2 linked regions of the Caenorhabditis elegans genome follow. The protein of the gene in region 1 purifies or fractionates together with the protein of each later gene. This does not show direct contact. Each region holds a gene or a part of one and is shown on either strand. Other genes may lie near its edges.

Region 1 (7,507 bases):
CAAAATTTCCGGTTTTCCAGTAGAAAAACGAGGGTAATCTGAAATTTTTTAGTTTTTCAATTAAAAAAAAAACGGAAAAACAAAAACTTTAAGATTTTCAATATAAAAAAGTAAAATCTCAAAAATTTCTCGTTTTTCGATTACAAAAGCTAGAGATCGAAGAAAAAATTTTTATTTCACTAATCCTGAGAAAACTGTGAAAAATTCATGAAAATTCCGCAGCCACAAAAGTTTGAAATTACAGTACTCTTTAAAGGCGAACGCAATTTTTTATTAAAACAAAATTGCTAATTTTCAGTTTTTCGGCACGAATGTGTAATAGGGAACTACTTATTTATAGTTTTTCAATTAAAAAAAAGTAGAAATCGAATATCTTCGTTTTTCGGTTAAAAAAGACGAAAAATCGAAAATTTCCATTTTTCGAGTAGAAAAAAAGAGAGAAATCTGGACTTTTTAGTTTTTCGATTAATAAAAATCGAAAAAAAAAACCGCCACATTTTTGCACCTAGGTTATAGAAAACTACTTACCCAATTTCGTTGCAATTTCTTCTCTAAAAAACTGTCCAATTCCACGTTTTTGATCATCCGTATGTCTAACAATTTGATCAACTAGCCATCCAAAAGTGTATGCATGATAACCAGTCTTTGTTCCAGGAGCCCATTTTGGCTCTTCTTCTTCAATAATTTGCCGCATTTTTTCATGATCCGCGGCGATTTCTTCAGTGATTGGAGTGTCAAACCATGCCATTCCAGACATATGAGAAAGTGCCATATTTATAGTAACATTATCTCTTCCATGAGTTCCAAATCCTGGCCAATACTTGGATACTGGGTCATCATATCTCAATTTTCCTTGCTCGTAGAGCAGTGCAACTGCTAATGACGCGGCAGCTTTTGTAGTCGAGAACGTCACTGTTATTGTGTCCTGAAACAATCAATTTTTTTAAAAATTTTTGTGTTTTGCTGATATGTCACAACTTTTTTCAAAAATGTTTTCTCTGTTTTTGTGCCATTCCATTCAATTTTATAGACTTCAAAAACCGTTTTGAACCGAAAAACTCCCCGTATCAAATTGATATTATTATCAGTTCATATCAATCTGACGACAGTGGAAAAATATATGTCGAAGCTATGAGGGAAACCGACGATAAATTATTCCAAATAAGGGCAAAGTATTAGATTGGGTTAAAGTTTGGAAATTCAGGTGCGAAATTTTGAGTCAAAAATACTGTCTCGACACGACAAGTTTCATGATTTTTTTAATTACTTAATACATTATGGAAACAAAAAAAGCTTACGAAAATAATGAGAAAACTACGATAAATCGATAAAAACTCCGCAACAACAGATGTTAAAAGTTACAGTATTCTTTAAAGGCGCACGTCTTTTCGCATTTATTATAAATGTGTCGTGGTTAAACCTATGGAACCGTATTTTTGTGTGCACCTTTAAACAGTACTGTAATTTTGAACTTATATTGCAGCGGAATTTTTCTTATCGATTTTTCGTAGTTTTTCGATAAAAACAAATTTACTTATTGGAAAAAAAACCAAATCTCGAGGAAAATTATTTTTTAATCGAAAAAAAACCTGGGGAACCGTATTTTTGGTGCAAAAAACCCAAGATTTATAGTAAAAAAGTTTGAAATTGAAAAATGCTTGATTTTATTTTTTTTGTTTTCAAAAATCTACCTCAGCCCACTTCCTTGCCGCCTGCTTATCAGCATATCCACCCCATAAATCGACGACTTTCTTTCCATCAACAAATACAGCGAATGCTGATCCTTCGATTTCCCATCCATTTTCGAAATTCTTTCTGTAAAAATACAAGTTCCAGGATTTTTGCAAGACATTTTCCTTTTCTTTTTTTTAAAATAAAATAAAGATGACGATAGAAAAAGATTATTTGCCTGTACGCATGCCGGCAAAGTAAATATTAATTTCAGTTCAGTCAAACACATTTGTCACTTCACACGGGTAGAAAAATGAGAAAAAAAGAGAGCAGGAAGGTCGAACTTACTTAAAAACCTCTCGAACTTTCTCGAAACGTTCATCGACAAATCCACTAACATCGGATTTGTGATTTGAATATAACCGATCACATACAAAGCGATAAGTTACAGATAATAAAACTGTGGCTAGAAATAGTTTGAAGAGTAGAGAAAACTGTTGCATGTTGGTGGGAACACGGAGCGGCGGGAATGGAGAGACAGAGCACACGGAGATGGGCGGTGCTTGCCTTGCCAGAAACCGTCTTTTCTCCCGGAGGAAGCGACTCCCTGTAGTTATCAGCGATTGCCTTTTTTTTGGCGGCCCTATCGGGTTGTGACGGCGTTTGGGGTGGAATTAGCAAGCCAATGGTTAGGAAGAGACACATTCTAGGGCAAACGGGGGTCGAATTAGAATGCAACCGGTTCCGGGAGGTTTATTTACTCGCATCATCATACGCCAATGAAGTACTTGTGTGTCCAAGATACACTTTAGAACAGTGTAGCCGATTATGCAATTTGATAACAATCAGATGTCCATGTTTCGCAGAAACGTTCATTCTTTTTCAAAAACGATGTATTTGCAATTTGGGACAACAAAACAATGAATGGATTATCATATAACAACAATGAGGTAACGTAACAACAAATTGATAAAAGAAGGATTTAGATGAGAAGCTTCTCAACGTCCTCCTTGATCTTCTGAATTTGAGATTTGAGCTGAGATCCTTCGTTTTGAGTGATTGAAGCAGCGATCACTGGACGAGTGACTCCACAAGCGCGTCCGAGGGCAGCCTTGCTGCGAACAAAGACGTATGGAACGTTCTTGTCTTCGCAGAGAAGTGGAAGATGGAGGAGAATCTCCAGTGGCTCGGCATCGGCGGCCATGACGATGATCTGAAACAATTCAATTAATTTGGTTCGAAAATTGATTTTGAAAATGGGAATGCAATTCAACATGGTTACGATACACTTACCTCAGAGATTCCTCTGTTGAGAGTCTTGGTGGCCTCGTTGGCTCCCTTCTTGAGCTGTTTGTAGTTCATCGCTTGCTGGACGAGATCCATGAGCTTTTGAGACAAGTTGGTATCGGCCAGTGGGAAGGCCTTCGGATTGACTCCATCATCGGCCATTTTTCTTCTTTTCTGAAATAAAGATGGTTGAAAATTGCTACAATGCGAAAGAATTATTTATCGATTCAAGAGAAAAAATAATAAAAACGATTTCAAAGCTGTAAATTCAAATTTTTACGATGATTTGCACTAGTAACATATCTGAAAGTAATAGATAATCAAAATTCCATTTATTTTTAATTTATTGTACCAACTTATTTAATTTCCGAAGAAAAATACAACGGGCAACGGGAGAAACAAAAGAAAAGAGAAAAAAACTACTTGTAATTTTCGAAAAGGGCCCAAAAAGAGACGCAGACAGTGGACGGGTCTCGCAGCGACAAGATGTTGGCACGCTGCCAAACATGCAGTGATTCTTTTTTATTCGAATTTGGCTGCATTTATTTTCGATTTAACCTGAATTTTACATGTTTTATCTGATTTTTATCGATTTTAAACGAAATTTCGATAAAAATCTAACTTTTTCTAATAGTTTATGCCTTTTCGATAGATTTTTACATGTTAATTTTGAAATTACGTCGCCGGTTTAAATTTATTGAACTACATTTTGTTTTTCTATTTTTCAAGACGAAAATTGATTATTTTATTTTCAGGAATGTCGGGGGAGGAGAAAGAAAAAGTAAAAATTCTCCATGTCGCCAACATTTCGACATCGGCTACCAGGGATCACATCTACAACATGTTCAACTATCTCGGAAAAATTCAGGATTTGAAGGTTGGTTTATTATTCCAAATTTACACATTTTTCGATTAAAAATTTCAATTAAAAATTTATTCTTTCAGGTCTATCCATCAGAAGGTAATATCACAGCTAATACTCTCCTGAAAACTGCTTTTATCAAGTTCGACGACGAGCGATGTGTCGAAGTAGCTCAGCATCTCACCAACACAGTCGTCATCGATTGCGCGATAGTCTGCCTACCATATCCGAATCGTGAGTTTTTTGAAAGCTGCATTTTTTCATAAAGTTTCATTTTTTCAGCTGTGATTCCGGACGAGGAGAGTTTTTTCAACAGTGGTGGATCTACAACGGCTGGTCAGCGACAGCTCCCACCTCACGTCACCAATAAAATTCAAGAATCTGACGATGGATCTGCTTTGGTAAGTTTATTTTCCCACTAGTTTTCCAACTAGCGTCTGGTGGTAACGGACGTTACTTGTTCATTTTACAGTTCTACTGGCCACTACCCAAATGACGAATGCAGTAAAATCCCGAAAGCGTAATCCAGAAAATCATCAAAAAACTTTGTTAGTACTCGCCGAATGATTAAATTTTCAGTTTCAGTGTATCCTCGCCAATCTATGCTGCGCATCGTCGGATATGAAAGCAATTAAATTTAGAAATTTTCAAATTCCTGATATTTTAGAAATTGCAATATTTCTAGTTTTCGCGCCGTCTAATTATTCCATTTTTCAGTTGATTACAGTCGATCCGACACTGGAGCAGCTCGGACTACCGGCTTATCCACCTCTACCGGCTGACACGGATTCTGCCAAAGTCGAAGAAATTCGAAGAACAGTCTACGTTGGAAATCTTCCGAAAGGTGTTGATGGAAACGAGGTTCTCGAACTGTTCAACATGTATTTTGGAGAGGTAGGTTAAAAACGATATTTTTGAAAGATTTATTTCTATCAATGTGCATTTATTGGCATTTTCATTCCTCTCTTGCTAGATCGACTTGCAATTGAAATTTGGCTTGACGGGCTTCCAGATCTAGAAAATATCAGTTAGAAATCAAGTTATCAGAAACATAGAAAATTACCTATCCTTGAACTTAAAAATTGTATTATCAATAAGCCATTTCTCGAAGAAAACAAAGCACATTGCTCCATAGTAAAGAAAATTGAACCAAAATGTCATCCACCAAAAGCTGCGCATCATTCCTGTTCCAATAGCCATATCGACATTCTCGATCATCGAACGGCTTCCATAACGAAGTCCGACATATGCGAATCTCAGCATATACACCACCCACGCAAGAGTACATCCGAATTCCATATAGTCTTCGAGCTGTTCCGAAAGTGGTCTCGGCAGAGTAATTTTGTTCCAATCTTTCAATCCTGCCGGAATCAACTCAAACATATCCTGACATATGGTACATTGAATGTTTGATGTTGTACGGACCCATTGCTCCAAGCATCCATTGTGAACGTAGGCGACTGTTCCGCTACAAGAGCATGGCTTGATCAGACTGTCGGAACTCTAGAAATATATTGCTAAATTAGAAATTGAAAAGAAAAATTACCGTATCGTTATCGAAACATATTCTGCAGATTACGGTTTTTGTAGAAACTTCCTTCGGTGACCGAATAGTTTCTAAGTTTCTCTCGATTATTGTGCACATAATTTCAAAACGAGTAGAAAGTTTGCAACCGACAATTTAGAAATGAATTAGAAATTTGAAAAAAATACAACATTTGTATTTAACAAAATTAAATATATTTTCACGTTTCAGGTAATGTACGCCAGAATGGCCTCGGGACCGGATGCATTGCCGTGTGCATATGCTTATGTTGAATTCTCACAGCAAGCGTCAGTGTGCAATGCACTTCAAAACGATGGATTCGAGTTTAAGGAGAGACCATTGAAGTGAGTTTAAAGTTTTAATTTTTTTAAAGGTTAATGGTGATTTTCTCAAATTCAGAAAAAAAAACCATAAAAGAAAAACAAAAAAAAATATTTTGACACAATTTTGGCTAATTTTCCGCCGTTTTTCTTTTATGGTTGTCTGTTTTTTAATTTTTAATTTTTTTAAAAATTAAAAACCCCGTCCACGCGATTCTACCTTTAAAATAAGTCAACTAAATTTTAAAACTTTTAAATCCAATAATTAAAATATTTTTCTTCAGAATTCAACACTCTCGCGTTGCCATCATCAAACCACAAGCCAAAACAGACGAACAAGCTCTTGGAGAAATCGAGGAAGCGATTCGGATGGGTAGAAACGGAGATGATCGGGATCGGCGCCGTTCGCGATCACCACGTCGTCGTCGTTCGCCGTCACCGCGTCGCAGACGGGATAGTCGTGATCGTGACCGTGACAGAGATCGTGACAGAAGGCGAAGTCGCGACCGAAGATCTAGAAGTCGTGATCGTGACCGTGATCGTGACAGGAAGAGAAGCCGTAGCAGAGATCGTAAACGCCGCAGTCGCAGTCGTGACAACAAGGATCGTGATAGGAAACGGTCGAGAAGCAGAGATCGCAGAAGACGTTCCAAATCTCGTGATCGTAAACGTGAAAGGTCTCGTTCAAGATCCAAAGATCGAAAGCGTGACAAGAAGCGCAGTCGAAGCAGATCACCTGAAAAACGACGTGATAAGGAAGATAGAAAAACCGAGAAGAAAGAAAACGAGAATGAATCTTCGCTACGTGAGAAGCTTCTCGAGAAAAAGGCCGCCCGGAAAGACTCTTCTGATGATGAATGGGAGGAAAAGCCAACACCGACTAATGGCGAGGTCAAGAATGAAGAAATTGGAAATGGAGATGTTGTCATGGCATCCGAGTGATCTATTTGTTTTATTGTTTTAAATCTTATCTTGTTTCCTGTTCAGAATCTTGATTAACCGACCACCTTCATTATTTCTGTATTTTAATTGTGAGATATTCACATCTTCCTTCGATCATTGATTTTATTCAAAACACAAATGTCATTATTTATTTCCGTAACGTAAAATGCACAAAAATAAAAATCTTAAATGTTTGCTTCGTATTTAGTAATAATTCCCCGAATAAGTTGAGGTGGAAATCGGCGACGCTCTCTACTAACACACGGAGCACAAAAATTGGCTCCGAAAAACAGTGAACAAGCATCTGACATGCAGACGGGTTGATTGCAAGCAGAGCATGGAGTTCCGAGTACCAGGAAATCGTTGAGACACGGCTTCTTGGCCCGATCACGGGATGGCGGCTTAAATGGATCCCTCATAAAGTAGACCGGAGAATCGTAGCTGAAAAGAATCAGTTTTTATTTAGGAATAAAATTAAAATTCTAATTCTTACCGTCCATCAATAACTTTAAGTTCTCCGAACAATGTTCTCTCTTTTAAATGACACACGTGGCATTCAAAATCGATAAATGGATCAATAAGTTGTGGTTGCTCTTCACTTGTCACTGCAGTGGCATTTTCAGATGTTGAAGGTTGCTGCGGCTCGTTCATTGAAATCTGGATGTAAAAATACTTGATTTTTGCTTTAAAAATTAATTTAGAAAATTCCCAGAGAAATTTATTCATTAATTAATCGACTAAAAATGAAAAAATGTCTTAATTTCGAATTTAAAATTAGTTTCGCAATAGAGCACACTTGCATCTGTAGTGGTACGATCGAAAAATGGGCGGGGTCTCTCTTTCCAGGCCTAGAAATAATTAGATTGACGAAAACAGGTA
Region 2 (5,969 bases), on another chromosome or scaffold:
ATGCATCTGCTGCGAAAGTAAATTACAGATTCTGAAAGCCGAAGATTTTAGCTCTCGCGCCAGGTTAAGTTTTATTTCATTCACATCTTATAGTTATCGTATTCCCGAGCAACGTGTTTATTTTCAATTAAACCTAAAAACTCCTTTTAAAATCAAACTTCAATTAGACATTCACTTGTTCTTATCAGCGGAAAAAGTTCAAAAACCTGGCTCTATCGACAGAAGTGAACTTTTCCATGAAAAATAGGCAATAACTTTAAAAACATAGCAGGTGGAGGGTGTAAAGGTTTTATGATTGGCGTATCAAACATTCAGAGCATCGAAAAAGATAATAACATGCACATTAGGCAATTGATTTCTGACGACGATCACACCGAACAATGTGTGGTATATTTGGGATTGTTGCCGCTGGAAATTATGAGCATTTGAATGTTCTTGCTGCAAATGGATTGGCTGCTCTTCAACACAGGTGGGGTTTTAAGTTTAAATTTTTAATAAGCTCTGTCTCAAAAAGTTTGATTTCATACATCTCCTACATTGGTTTCAGTTTGAATTTTTAACTGTTCAGCTCCTCATTCCTAAATATCTAATTTTTCAAAAAGCTCTCGTTTTCTCTTCCCGTTCATTCCGCTTCTGCTTAACTTAAGCCATCGTTCCACAAGAAGGCAAAAGTGTAAACTCCCTAATTGTATCCGAGCCAGTTTAGTCTGACTAGACGTCAATGGAGAAGTTATCAATTTTGCGTCAGAAATACGCTGAATCGCCAACATTAGAATCACGTTGCCAATTGGATGAAAATGACGCGTATGTAGAGATTGAACTGGCGTCTCGTGGGTCACAGCAAACAGCGCTAACCACTCGGACACACGACCAATAAAGTGCTTGTAGCGTTGCAGTGGTTGACATTGTTGCAAACAAGTAGATTGTGCAGTGATTTTGAGTTTGCAAAAAATCGAAATAGCTAAATGAATAAGTCTAGCATTTCTTGCAAATATTGTCTAGTTTCTAAATTGTTTTCCGTGCGTGATAGAAAAATAAAATACTAAAACAAATTAGTTGCAAATTTGCAATTCTTATCATGTATATTTTGCAGAGGAACTGAATCAACAGGACTCGTTGGTTCAGATGGAATCACTCGAGACCACGTGGAAATTATCAAAGGTCATGGACTTGTCCGAGATGTGATTACTGAAGATAATATCTCAAGAATGAATGGGCAATCGATAATAATTGGTCATAATAGGTATTCAACTGCAGGAAAGAAGAAGTCTGGAATCAATTGTGTACAACCATTTGTGGTATATACTGCAATGGGTACTGTAGCAATTGCTCATAATGGAGAATTGGTTGATGCGAAACAAAAAAGAAAGGAAGTACTTCATGAAGGTGTTGGTTTATCAACTGACACTGACTCAGAGCTTATTGCTCAAATGATTGCAAAAGCGATTGCTCTGAATGTAAAATGCAAGTATGGACAAGAGATGGGTGATATTACAAGAGTGAGTTTTTGAAAAACATGAAAATTCTTAAACCAAAAAACTTCAGGAGCTCGCAGTAACAATGTCTGCACTAAACATGTCATATTCTCTACTAGTAATGACATTTGATAGACTATACGCAATTCGTGATCCATTTGGAAATCGTCCACTTTGTGTTGGTACTGTATATTCTAAAAATGGAAATCCAGAAGCATTCATTGCATCTTCTGAATCTTGTGCATTTCCTGCAAATGCTAAATTAGATTTCGAAGTGAGACCAGGAGAAATTGTGGAATTATCGACAGGAGGAATCAAGTCGGTGTGGCAGGTAAACTTACATATATCTTGGCCTGCCTACGCGCCTACCTACCGCCTTCTCTGACCTCATTTTCTCATGTATGTATTTTGTTAGACATTAAAATTTAAAAAAGTGTTTTTAAAGTTTTGCAAATACATGTAGTTTTTAGACTTTCTGGTTATTTTTGGTATTTTCCAAAATTACAATCGAGACAGATGGGCTATGCTGAAAAATCAGAAACCTGGAATTATATGAGTCATTTCAGATGAAACCGAATACTCCTCTGGCTATGTGCATATTCGAATATGTCTATTTTGCACGAAATGATTCAGAAATTGAAGGACAACAAGTACAAACTGTTCGTGAAGAATGTGGAAAAACGATGGCTCTTGAAGATGATCTAGAAGCAGATATTGTTGGAAATGTTCCAGATTCTTCGCTGAGTGCAGCAATTGGATACGCTTCTCAGTCTGGAATCACATATGAACCTGTTTTACACAGAAATTCATATGTTGGAAGATCATTTATAGAACCAAATGATGAGATGAGACAAAATGCGATTAAAATGAAATTTGGTAAAATAAAGAAAACTATTTAGAAAGACTTCATGAATTCTATTTCAGGAGTATTGAAGAAAAAGATTCATGGACAAAGGATTGTGTTAGTAGATGATTCAATTGTACGTGGAAATACGATGAGAACTTTGGTAAAAATGTTAAGAGATGCTGGAGCAAAAGAGGTATTACCCTTGTTGTTAAAAATAATGATTTTTCACCTTATAAACCGTGAAAAAGGTCTTGACACGAGCAAAAATTTTCAGCTACCGTATAACGCGAGTAATTCTCCGTTTTTGCAGATTTTTCCAATACATATATTTGTTGTAAAACTGTGCATCTAGATGTTCAGCAAATATTAAGAAAACAATAGCGGAATACATAAAAACGAGAAACTGGAGTATACGGTAGAGTACGGTATCTTAGAAATTTCGATCGTGTCAAGACCGCATTATTCAAATAATACCTCTAAATTTAAAGGTTCATCTACGAATTGCTTCCCCGCCTGTAAAATTCCCATGTTTTATGGGAATCAACATTCCAACCACAAAGGAATTGATTGCTGCCGAAAAAACAATTCCAGAAATCTGCCAATTTGTTGGAGCCGATTCAGTACGGTATCTTTCGGTTGACGGTTTAGTTTCGGTGAGTTTGAACCTCACTTTCTCCTCAATTTAATTTTTTTTCAGTCTGTTCAAAAAGGAATCGAACGAGCTGCCAACTTCTCTCCAGGACATTGCACCGCATGTCTCACTGGAAAATATCCAGTTGCTATCGATTTATAATTAGTGTTTGAAAAGTTTGAATAGATTATTTGTATTCATGAAAAACAAAATCAATTCAATTAAAAATCAACAATGAATGTGTATAAAAATAAGAACAACAACAGTTTGCGGAAAAAAAATAAAATGATTAACAACAGAAATCAGGACGCTTACAAGCTCTTCTTCTTTCCACGAGATCTCAATGTTTTCTTTTCGACAGCAGCTGGACGGGCACTTGCAGCGACGGATTTGAGGATTGTCTGGAAAATTAATATAACCAAATTTTATTTAAAGTTTTTCGTACGTTGGATAGCGTAGATTTAGCCTGTGGAGTAGCAGCAGCAGCTGCCTTCTTTCCTGCGCGAGTTTTTGGAGTGAACTGTTTGGGTTCCGGCTTTTCAGTTTTAGGAGTCTTGATGACAACCTTTTTGGTGACTGGAGTGGAAACTTTCGGAGTTGCTTGTTTTGGAGTCACGGCCTTTGGAGTAGCTGCTTTTGGAGTTGCAGCTTTCACAATTTTCGGAGTCGTGCTTTTCGGGGTGACATCACTGATAAATTGAACCTCATTGTCAATGACCTTCTTAAGTGGCGTTCTTGGTGTTCCAGACACAGAGAAATCATAGTTGATCCCCATATTCTGCAGCTTCTTCAAAGTTTTGTTGAGATTTTGCACGCGTTTCTTGGCATTGATGACGTCATTTTTTCCGGTGGTATTGTTTCTGGCAATTGTATCTTTTTTAGCGATGCCCAAGTAAGATGGACGCATCACAAGCAGTGGGCCATGGCGCATTGCCTTCGGGATAAGTTCTGGTTTCATCACCTAAATTTAATAAGTTTTTCAAGGATATAATGGTAGAAGTTGACCTACCGTGCACCCGAGACGTTGCTCGAACATCAAGTAACCGTTCATTGATTCGGCAGCGATTTCAGCAACAGCCTTGTTGTCGAATCCAACGTACGCCCATCCCTTATGATTACCAGTCTAAAATAATGATTTAATACTATATTAACAGGTTGCTGAACCTACGCGTCTGTTTCTGGCCACACGAATTCTCAACACATTTCCGAACTGACGGAAATACCCGAGCAACTCCTTCTCGAAGAATCCAAACGGAATACGCTTAATCTTGACAACATAAATTTTCTTCAGCTGCTTTTTTTGGACTTTGTCTTGCTTCTGAGGTTGCTTGCGTCCTCCAGAACTGATCGAAGTTGGATTCTGGGCAACCATTGTGTCTGAGATCTGAAAAATGTGTATATTTCGTGCAATAAAAATTTTCAAAACAATATTTTGCAAATTATAAGAGTTTTCAGCTGTTCAAACATGAAAAATCAGGAAATAAGGTAGAAAAATTAGCTTTAAAATTTTGTGAGGGACAAAAGCAGTGTTACTGGCGCGTTTCTTCGTTGACGCAGTTTCCGTGCAAGGCGCATGTTTCGTGCTGAAGCGCACGCACACAAACATTTTTGTTGTTTCGTCGCATTTCTAAACTTTTTCATCCAATCAACCGATTTTTGATCTCTTATTCTTATCACGAAGGTCAATTATTATTCTAAACGGTTTAGACAATAAATACATACTTTCTATTTTCAAAACTCCAATCAGTTCCTACTTAACTTTTCGCTTTTATTCACTGCCTAATATCAGAGGTAGTTATGTACCGAGACGTAAAATTGTTCAATGTTTTTTAAAGTGTTTATATTTATCCTCTCTGTTCGACTCGTCGATCATTGAGTTTCGATGCGTTCTTTCTTAAATAATTACATTTCAAAACAACATTAACGTCTTTCCCGAAAAAGTCATTCTCCTTTTTGCTGTTTTTTAGATGCATTCATTTTTGTGTAGTGATTAATGATTCCCTTTCAATATTTCCAGATTCAATCGTGATATCGTTTTGATCTATGTTAGCATAAATAATCGTTTCCAATTTAGTTTATTTTTAGGAATGAGTGATTCGGACGACAATGCCTACAGCGATTATTTGGGAAATCGAAGAGCTGCTCTCCAAAAGAAGCGACAACCGGTACGAGTTTGTGAGAGCGACGACTCAGACGACGATTTCGATACCAGCGGTCCATCGCCAATGAGAAAAAAGACGCGGGAAACCCAACTCTTTCCGGACGACTCGGATGATGATGAATGCGTTGAAGTAGAGAAAGAAACATACTCCCAAAAAGTCAGACACGAAATTGATGATGTAGAAGAAGGTTAGTGTTATCATACTTTTTTATACAGCTCATACAAATATTTTAGCTTATCGTCGATCTATTTACAAGCGAGAGACCGTTATTCACGCACCAGTCGAGAAAAACAATGTTATTAGTGGACTGTTGAAAATCTGTGAAGGTTGGGACGAAGCTGCAAAATCAGGAGCACAACCGGAGGTTGAAGATGTGAAAGACGACTCAGACGCGGATGAATCAGTGAGAGGAAAAATTGTTTTTTTCTTAAATTTTGCTTATTTTTTAGAGCATTGCTGCTGAAAACTTTCCCGTCACAGTGGTTATTCTGGATTGTGAAAGTCACGGAAATGATATGAAATCTCGTCATGACATCTTTCTCGAATCGACGTTCTCTGAAATTAGAAGAATTTATGCGACGAAATGGGGATGCCCTGTATCTTGTGTAGTTTTCAGTCACAATGGCAAGACAATTGACACATACACGACACCACAAAGCTTGGGTTGGCGTCCGATGACACTACCACATCCACTCATTGAAGCAAGCAAGGAAGCAGGAGAACCTGCGGAAGTGTTCACAATTGAGAATTCGCCTGACTCTTTCACAATCAAGGTGTTGCTTGCAAGTCGAAGAAAGCCGGTGCAAGTTGAAGCAGCTAAGGATACAACAATTCAAGAGATTCTTCAGAAAGTG

What was found. The genes of interacting proteins can lie anywhere in the genome.
Region 2: the proteins of snu-13 (region 1) and nifk-1 fractionate together in Caenorhabditis elegans (co-fractionation; one large-scale study listed by BioGRID). This does not show direct contact.

The regions. Positions count from the first base shown.
Region 1 is NC_003280.10:10,655,495-10,663,001, forward strand, and holds snu-13 (Small nuclear ribonucleoprotein associated homolog 13), read right to left. Parts: upstream 3,133-7,507; 5' UTR 3,121-3,132; coding exon 2,965-3,120; intron 2,885-2,964; coding exon 2,654-2,884; 3' UTR 2,533-2,653; downstream 1-2,532. Other genes in the region: lact-3 (Beta-lactamase-related domain-containing protein), read right to left, coding at 529-925, 1,692-1,815, 2,020-2,174; rsp-7 (putative splicing factor, arginine/serine-rich 7), read left to right, coding at 3,716-3,835, 3,904-4,054, 4,103-4,221, 4,538-4,714, 5,577-5,710, 5,971-6,628; marc-2 (RING-CH-type domain-containing protein), read right to left, coding at 4,753-4,834, 4,884-5,323, 5,367-5,465; D2089.8 (Cysteine-rich DPF motif domain-containing protein 1), read right to left, coding at 6,814-7,069, 7,122-7,279. UniProt on the Caenorhabditis elegans protein: Binds to the 5'-stem-loop of U4 snRNA and may play a role in the late stage of spliceosome assembly. The protein undergoes a conformational change upon RNA-binding.
Region 2 is NC_003281.10:4,688,965-4,694,933, forward strand, and holds nifk-1 (RRM domain-containing protein), read right to left. Parts: upstream 4,335-5,969; 5' UTR 4,326-4,334; coding exon 4,122-4,325; intron 4,077-4,121; coding exon 3,963-4,076; intron 3,915-3,962; coding exon 3,399-3,914; intron 3,355-3,398; coding exon 3,265-3,354; 3' UTR 3,134-3,264; downstream 1-3,133. Other genes in the region: ppat-1 (Amidophosphoribosyltransferase), read left to right, coding at 381-469, 1,094-1,499, 1,546-1,806, 2,042-2,351, 2,400-2,515, 2,811-2,975, 3,020-3,115; T04A8.8 (Rad60/SUMO-like domain-containing protein), read left to right, coding at 5,041-5,302, 5,349-5,518, 5,565-5,969.